Xenopus tropicalis: one gene and its partner. The protein of the gene in region 1 purifies or fractionates together with the protein of each later gene. This does not show direct contact. Links are inferred from orthologs where the notes say so. Each region holds a gene or a part of one and is shown on either strand. Other genes may lie near its edges. The genes, in order: lin28b and larp7.

What was found.
Region 2: the proteins of lin28b (region 1) and larp7 purify together in Homo sapiens (affinity purification with mass spectrometry; 3 studies listed by BioGRID and IntAct, with this or other methods). This does not show direct contact. The link is inferred for Xenopus tropicalis from reciprocal best matches to the Homo sapiens genes LIN28B and LARP7.

Annotation. Positions count from the first base shown.
Region 1 is NC_030681.2:80,099,836-80,104,439, reverse strand, and holds the start of lin28b (protein lin-28 homolog B), read right to left. Parts: upstream 2,925-4,604; 5' UTR 2,760-2,924; coding exon 2,750-2,759; intron 2,066-2,749; coding exon 1,869-2,065; intron 1-1,868. UniProt on the Homo sapiens protein: Suppressor of microRNA (miRNA) biogenesis, including that of let-7 and possibly of miR107, miR-143 and miR-200c.
Region 2 is NC_030677.2:68,989,237-68,993,058, reverse strand, and holds part of larp7 (la-related protein 7), read right to left. Parts: intron 1,295-3,822; coding exon 1,140-1,294; intron 993-1,139; coding exon 892-992; intron 92-891; coding exon 1-91. UniProt on the Homo sapiens protein: RNA-binding protein that specifically binds distinct small nuclear RNA (snRNAs) and regulates their processing and function.

The DNA of each region.
Region 1 (4,604 bases):
AAAAAAAATTATTTATATATATACAGTTTAACATATATATATATATATATATATATATATATATATATATATATATATATATATATATATATATATATATATATATATGTTAAACTGTTATATGTTAAACTGTTATGTGTTAAACTGGGTTGTTGTCAAGGTTGAGCACAAAAAGACACTCCTCTACAACACATAGCATGGAAAGACATTTTGAACCATCTAAATAAGCCTGGCAAAGCAGCAGTATAAATAAGAGTTTGCCTTTCAAAAAACAAGCTCTTCCTTAATGGGAAGTAAAATGCATAATTTAAAATGTAGGTGAAGAGAGGTTCAATGATAAAAAAAAAAAAATCGTATCAAGGATGTTCCACTGTCACTTCAGCTCCCTGTTCTTTGCTTGCAACAAACAGCCCTTATTCTATTGTCTATGGCACAACAGGAAGTAAAGTGTACAATAAAGATTGCTTCCCCTTGTCAGATCCCACAATTAGTGCTCAAGGTATAGAAAGACAGAACAACAAATTTCAGGGTTGCTTTATCTAGAATCACAGCATCATCAGTTTTGCAAATGCAAATCTGAAAAATGACAGTGGGAACTAATGCACAGGGTCATAATTACTAATGTTCCAATAATAGCTTAACTTACAAAAAGCCATATTCATTTTCAATGTTGTACAAGCAACTGTGATTACACTGTAGAATTTTTATAAGTAGCTTTAGTTTAATTTCAGGTAAACAGTAACTGAAAAATCTAAATGTTGCAATAAATACCAAATACACTTCAACAATAGTCAACAACACGAAGATCACATTGCAAAACTAAAATCTAGAAGCTGTGTCACTGCAGCTGTTCAGAAATCACAATATTTGATTGTTGTAGGGGGATCTTGGACTTAGCAACAGTTAAAAAGGCACAGTTGCAGGTGACTGCTGTAACGCATGGCATTACACTTATAGGTACTTGTTCTTGACACAATTTGAGAATGGATTATCACATGTGCACGCTTTTGCTTTTTTGGTATTACACTTAATACCATGACATTTTACACAAACAATTATATCTATATGCAGATCTAATCAGTGAAAATGGCAACCTAGGTTTTGTTTAGTTTTTTTATGGAGCAAACTGTGGAGTGCAGCTTTGATTTCACACAGGAGAAAGTGCAGGAGGAGAACAGCCAACTCCTTAGTTAAAGCATAAACATAAACTGCCTCTGGCCACATGCTTTCTTGACTTCAATGTCCTTAAAGAGACAGAGCAGCTGACACCAGATTTCCTGCTGCTCCCAATCTAGACAGAGGAAAAACGCACAGCCCTAAACAAATGTGGCTATTTACTTTCTTACTGCTTAAGGCAAGCAAAATGAGCTACAATTGGACCTTACCTAAGACCTTTTAAAAAAGAACACTGAAACAACCTTGAGCACTGAACCCAGCTGCAATCAGATGACAATTATGGCTAGAATGATAAGAACATATTTTACATCTAATGGTCTTAATTAGATAACTAACAAGCCCTTTAGAGCAGATAAAGGGTGGAGTCACAGACTGTGCTCTTCATTGGCTGTTTCACTTGAACTCAAAAGAGATTCCTTTAAAAACAAATGGGCGCACTGATTAACCCATTGAAGGCAGAGCAAACAGTCCTGCAGATACAATGAATGACAGGAGCGCAGAGTTAACGATTGCCCATAAAAAAGGTAAAGGCAGTGTCTGCATGCAATGAAAGTGTGGAGTTCATAGAAAGAGCAAGTGTCTATTAAGCACACACATTCCTGCTGCACCAGGAAATGGGGAGAAACTCCAAAGCGGGTGGCTTTCCCCTCTCCTTGTGGGTGGTGAGAGTAAGGAGGGGGTAAGAGACTTACTTGGTGAACAAAAACATCGACAGGGTTTTCCAAGGGACTTCCCTCCCGGCTAGTCATAGATATGAAACCGAAGCCCATCCGTACATTGAACCACTTGCAATGGCCTGAGCCACGCAGGACCTGGGGGTCCTCCTCCTCCTCCTCTTCTTGTTCTGGCAGCTTCCCCTGCTCTTCTCTTGTACCTCTGGCAGCCCCTCCTGGGAGAGAATAGAGGAGAAAACAATAAGCATCAGTTCCGAAAGCATAGCAAACATAAAGAATATGGCACACTATAACACATTAACACTTGCATTCATCTTCTAGTTCTTGTGCGCAACCCACCACTGGGACACTGGGCATTTAAAAAAACCCTTTAATCTCTGCTCGCCGCGTGTTTATTTATAAACCCATGTGCTTGCAACGCAGCTAGCCAGTTCGGTGCTCCAGCCATTCTATACTAGGGGAAGGAGAATAAAGCACTTTCAAAAAGAGAACGGCCCTGGTGTAGGGCGGCGCAGGGAGGGAGGTGAAGCGAGGTATGAGGATTATTGCACAACTTGTTATTGCCCATGCACTGGATCACACATTGTTTTCAGAGTGCACATCCCTTGCAAGTGTGGACTTTAATTGGAAAAACAAACGCGAACCTTACAGGTGGAGAAAACAAAAACCCTAGGATGACTTATACATGCAAAAACGATCATAGCCGATAATTCAAACAAAAGCCTCCAAAAAAAAAATACAGCAGTGCTTGCTTTCTCGACCACGATACGAGGGTAAGCGTGATCTGCTAGCAGCTGGAAGGTGCCCCCTCCTCCTAATCTAGTGCCCCTCTACCGGCCGATCCGCGGAGGGAAAGGAAAAAGCCCAGAAAACAGCAGGAATGAATACGTCTAATGCACCTTCGGCCATGATGCCTCCTGCTCTAGAGACGAAAGATGAAAAGTTTCCTTTTTGCTGGGGGTGATCTGTAGCATCAATGTGGCATCCTGATTTGAAGCGATCCCAAATTTAGCTCGCATGGTCTAGCGTGCTCTCCCTCTTGTGTTGCTCCCTTCTCTCGGCTCTCTGCTCGCTGGCCCCTCCAGCACACGTGACTCTGTCAATTACATGCCTTCTTGCTGCTAATTTCAGCACTGATCCTGAAGGGGCTGGCAAGAGCTGGGCGCAGCCAATCACCACTTCGACCGAGGCTGCCACGGAAAACATTTATGAATGAACGAGGGAAAAAAATCCTTATAAACACGCCAAGCTTTTACACACGCACACGCCGAGCCAAGTCATTTTACTACAAGGAGGCTGTGCATATTTGCTCTTCGTGCACAAGCCTGCAGTGCGCCGATCGGTATGGAGATAACGTAGCGTTACTTTGCCCGCATTTATCGGCGGTGCATGCTGCTAGATTACTGGTATAGTAAATAATGCCCCGCCTGTACTACGGCTTTTTGACAGCTATATGACTAGTGTATATCAGCTGACAATACATGGGAATGATGGGATTTATTCATTGACGTATAAATACTTTGTTATTGATTCTTTGGTGTGCTTTACTAAACATAATAACCAGTGCAATAAACGTGTCTTTACATTTGTGTATCACATAGCCCACTTTAATCTGTGATATGTAGAATGAGAAATTTCCAGGAAAAGGGTGACTCAATGATTTGCTGGTGGGAATTGCACTTAATTAACCACCGTGCCATGGCCACATGGTGTGGCAGCAGTGGGGTTAAACGTGGAGGTTTCCCTGTGTTTTTAGAGGAGGGGGTGGGGAAGAGGCGGGTGCTGGATCAGACTTCACAGGTTTCTCCGCCATCTCTTTCCGGGGGAGGGGATGTGATTAATGACTTCCTAAATAAGAGCCAAGCATTGGAAAGGGAGAGGGGGATGAAAAAGCCTTCATCAACGTGGATTGTTCTTTGGGAGTCACCGGAGGGGAGGGGGGCTAGAAATAGGCAAGGACAATGGGCTAAATGAGCGACAGAGCACGCACCCATCTATTGGAGATGTGCCTATATCATCCCATTCATACAATAAGAATGTTGTATGTTATATAGGGTTTTACTTGTCGTCTACAAATAGGAGCTTTAAACAAAGGCAATATATTTTGGCCTGCCTTTAGCCACTGCTTCATTCATCTATTACGCACTGACCCGATATTGCTATTATGTTGAGACAATTCTCTTCCAAATTATAGGCCATGAGACTTCTAGTATTAAGGTAGCCTGCTCACCTTAGATGCACTGAAACTGGGTTGGTATTTCAACTATCATACTTGTTTATGGCGTTAATCCTTTAGAGATGCCAATCATTTAATGCAGTAACCTATATACCTAGATTCATTCGCCATCAAATTCAGAGCTCAGGACAAGCTGGATCCCTTGTCAAAACGGAAGCCCATTATTTCTAGGTGCAGTTAAACCAGCCCAGAAAGTACACTGGCCAAGATGAGAACATGTAACTCTGCTCCTGACCTACCAGTTTGAGGTCAAACACTACAGCTTGCTTCCCAAATGCCAGGAGGTATTTGTCTCAATTGATGTGCGAGTCCCAACTATGGGGGAAGGGCGCTAATACCTTTCAGAACGCCAGGCATTCTCTATCCGAACACAAGTAGTACTTCACTGAGAGAACTGCCTCCCGCTAGTAGCGATTCTGCAGTCGAAACTAACAATGTCCGCTAAAGCTGTCCTTGGCAAAGATGGTCTTGCTTTAGGGACAGCCTAGTCAGAAGGATCGGTCCAAAGCATGTTTAGT
Region 2 (3,822 bases), on another chromosome or scaffold:
CATCTTCAGGAGATTTAAACCGTACATGGCATTCTGTATCACCTTCCAGCATGTCCACATAGACCACTTCGCACACTCCTGAAAATGCATCCTGTTAAAAGAGAAAGTAATTTATTATATTTACAAACATCAACACATGCTCATACAGACACATACAGTATAGGACAGTGGGGCAAGGGTGAGAGTTGCTTCTAAGTAATATCAGCAAGATTTGCTAGTAGTCACCCTGCATTGTACCAAACTGGGTGGGAATTGTGGGTGCAGAGCAACTCAGTGTTTCTGTAAGTGACCAATGTCACCCAACAAGTTTCATAGATCAGAACTTCCCAGGACACTAACACAATTTCTAAATGAAAGAATGAATGAATGTAGATTTTATTTATTTTATTTATTTACTATGAAATACTTCCATATAAGATATCATCCAATTAAACCAAATAATGTTCCCTTATCAAATTTCAGGAATTATTTAGTGCACACATTTTTTTTTTAAAGAGGATCAAACATGATTTACAGCATTTGTATCCATACTTTTCCTAAGGATAATGCCACATGAGGGGAAAAAAAACAAAACAATTGCCACATGTTTTCCAACCGGCAATTTACATTATAGCCAGTGGGAAATCATTTACAGATCAGTCACTCCCAGTAGAAGACCTTTATCGTAGGAAACTAATAAAAAAGAAAAAAAAGTGTACCTAGTATCTATAGCCTGTATTGTCAAGACAAAATAAAGTGTTGCTTGTTTCTGTAGCATAAAGTTTTAGGTGTTATTCTTTGCAGGAATGCAGTGAATAATTATATGCACCCAGCAGTACCAACAGAGTGAAGAGACAGCGCTCCCAGGCAGGATGGTAGATTATTAGGATAAGAGAAACACAGACAATTTACCTTAACATATTTGCGTCCCTGAAGAGGATCTGAACTTGTGATTTTCCCTATAACACCACACACAAACTGTGGTCCCAGTGGTTCATTCTTTACAGTCTCCACTAAATCCAAATATGAAATGGAAAGAGTTATATAATTATAAGAAAACATTTTGGTAGATAAATAGATAATTGAATTAATCTACATATTTGTCAAGTTAAAGAAAAACCATTATAATTATAAGCACATAGTTATTTATTTATTTATACCTTTTCCATTCTTAATATCAAAGCTTTGCATGGATGGTTGTGTTTGCATTTCCTCCTCAGAGATGTGATTCATTTCACTCATTGATTTCTTAAGAGAGGCCATGCTGGCTCGCTGCAGTGTTAAATATTCGGCCTTCAGGACCAACCATTCTGTCCTGGAGAGGAGAATAATTTAGTGTCATAAAAAAAAAAACCCAGCAGTATATACAGTGATTGTCTAAAGTGAACCCTTTCAAATTTCCTATATTTTTAAGTGAATATGACCTGATTTTATGATCTGATTTCCTAAAAGTAGATAAAGAAACCTAGTTAAACAAACTAAACAAAAATTATTATATTTGATCAGGTATTTATTGAAAAAAATTATCCAGTAACATATCTGCGGGCAAATGTAAGTGAACTGTGCTCTCAGTATTTGGTGTGAGCCCCTTGTGCCGCAATAACTGCAACTAAATGTTTGTGGTAACTGTTGATCAGTCCTGGATTACTTCGGTTGTTACCGATATCTGGTGTAAACTTCAGGTCAACAGCCCCATTAGAAATATATTTACTGAGAAAAACGTTGACTTGTTCAATACTTATTTTCCCTTCAAATATATATTGCATATACAGCCATGACGTTTTGGTCCTCCCTGGTGGCTGTATATGCACGTTTAACTATATTTTTTTGATTTGCATAGAAATCCCAGTGTTGCTGGTTGTTTTTGAATGATGTGTTATGTTTTTACAGTGCACCTGGTTATACAAATAAAGCGGAGTGCCACCCTTCTGGTAATTATTTATATATAGGAAAGTCACGATACCGAAGCTTGAATGAATTCCAAAACTTTCGTACTCGTTGTGACAAATACGATTTTGACGCACAAATTGATGCAAAGCATGAAAAAATTGCGGAAATTAGTGAAAATATCGTAGAAAATACGCACAGTTCTAAAACTTATAAAAAAATATGAATTTTTAGCTTTCGGACTCAATCGAACCCCATAGCGTAAGTAGCATATTTTCGGCATGCCAAGAATACGCTACCTACGCTTGAAAATCCTCCTACCTGTGCCTGCACCTGATAGCATTGAATACATTCAGATGCAGACACATGCAGCCGATATCTGCTAAAAAAACGTGAGACTTTGCATTTTCAGTGGATATCGGCTACATGTGCCTGCACCTGAGTGTACTCAATTCTTTCGGGTGCAGGCACAGGTAGGAGGATTTTTAAGTGTATGTAGCATATTTGTGGCAACAGTTTTTCACCTTGCAGAGAATACGCTACCTACGCTAAGGGGACGATTTATTAAAGTATGATAGGTACAAAATACAAAAAAAAAAAAATCAGATTTGTTCATACTGTGCGTATTTTCTGCGACTTTTTCGGATATTTTCTAACTCTTTCATACTTTGCAACAAAATTTGTGACAAAATCATATTGCCGCGCCGAGTACGAAAGTTTCTGATTCATTCAAGCTTCGGTATCGGGACTTTCCTTGGGCCGGGTTGGAGCTGCAGAGTGCCATTGGGTCCTATGGGAGGCTTCCAAAATCATGCACAGAAGGATCAAAGTCGGAAAGGTTTTCCCACCATTTACGATAGTTCGGATATGAAAATTTTGTGACTTTCGGATCGCCAATACAATATTATCGTGATTAGTATGGTTTTTTTGTAAGCATTTTGATGATATTTGCGATCATCACAAAATTATCGTATCTAATTCAAATTTTACCCATTTTGGAATTCGAACTCGTACTTTGATGAATCAGCCCCTAAGTGTGGCATTAGCTTAAGACACTCTGTGCAATGTTTAAACAAAACAGCTATTGGAGGGCATTTTAGTGTGCACAGAAAGTCTTAGAGGCAGACATTTTTTTTTTTTTTTAATTTCAACCTTGACCAAAGTCAGTTCTTTTTCACAAAATTCTGATTAAAAAAAAAAAAAAAAAACACGGTCCCAAAAATGAGTATAAAAAAAAAGTCAATACCTTGAATCGTTAACTTTACATCACTTTAATCACCTCCTCTGTGATTGGTCTAAGCCATGTGCCTGCTTATTATTATAACAAACATATTCTGGATTGTTTAAAAAGACATGATTGGTTTCTCCCATGCTTATATTTTTTTGGATTGGTGCCATAAATGTAAGGCAAATTTTGATTTATGCAGACTTTGCTAAATTATAATTTAATTGCATTATTCATAACTAGCTATTATTATTCCCATGCCACTATATACAAGGAGGCTTCTTCTTGTAACAAAAGCAGATGTATGTAAATGTATTATTTTCACCAGGACAGCATTTGTTACAATGCATGCAATGGGAGACAAAGGAATGTTAAAACAATAGGTGTAAGAAAGAGTTAATGGAGTTAATCTATCAAGCCTAGTCGCATTTAATTAGCCCCTTCAACCTCTTTTGTTGCCAGAGGTATTGGCTTGAGCTGCCACAAACTGGTTCAGAAACAATTCTTTAAAAAAAAAAAAAAAATACGGTGTATATTGGGAAAGAGCTCATGTACACTATGGTAATCTGCACACTGACCTTTGAGATTAAGAGCTTCAATTCTGCATAACTAGAAGTTAATCTCAACCATTTAAAAATATACCTAACTTGGAGGAGTCATTTTCAAATAAAAACAATATAAGATGCAAATTCCAATGAGAGCTGAATGGGATTTTTGTTTGTAAAAATGTT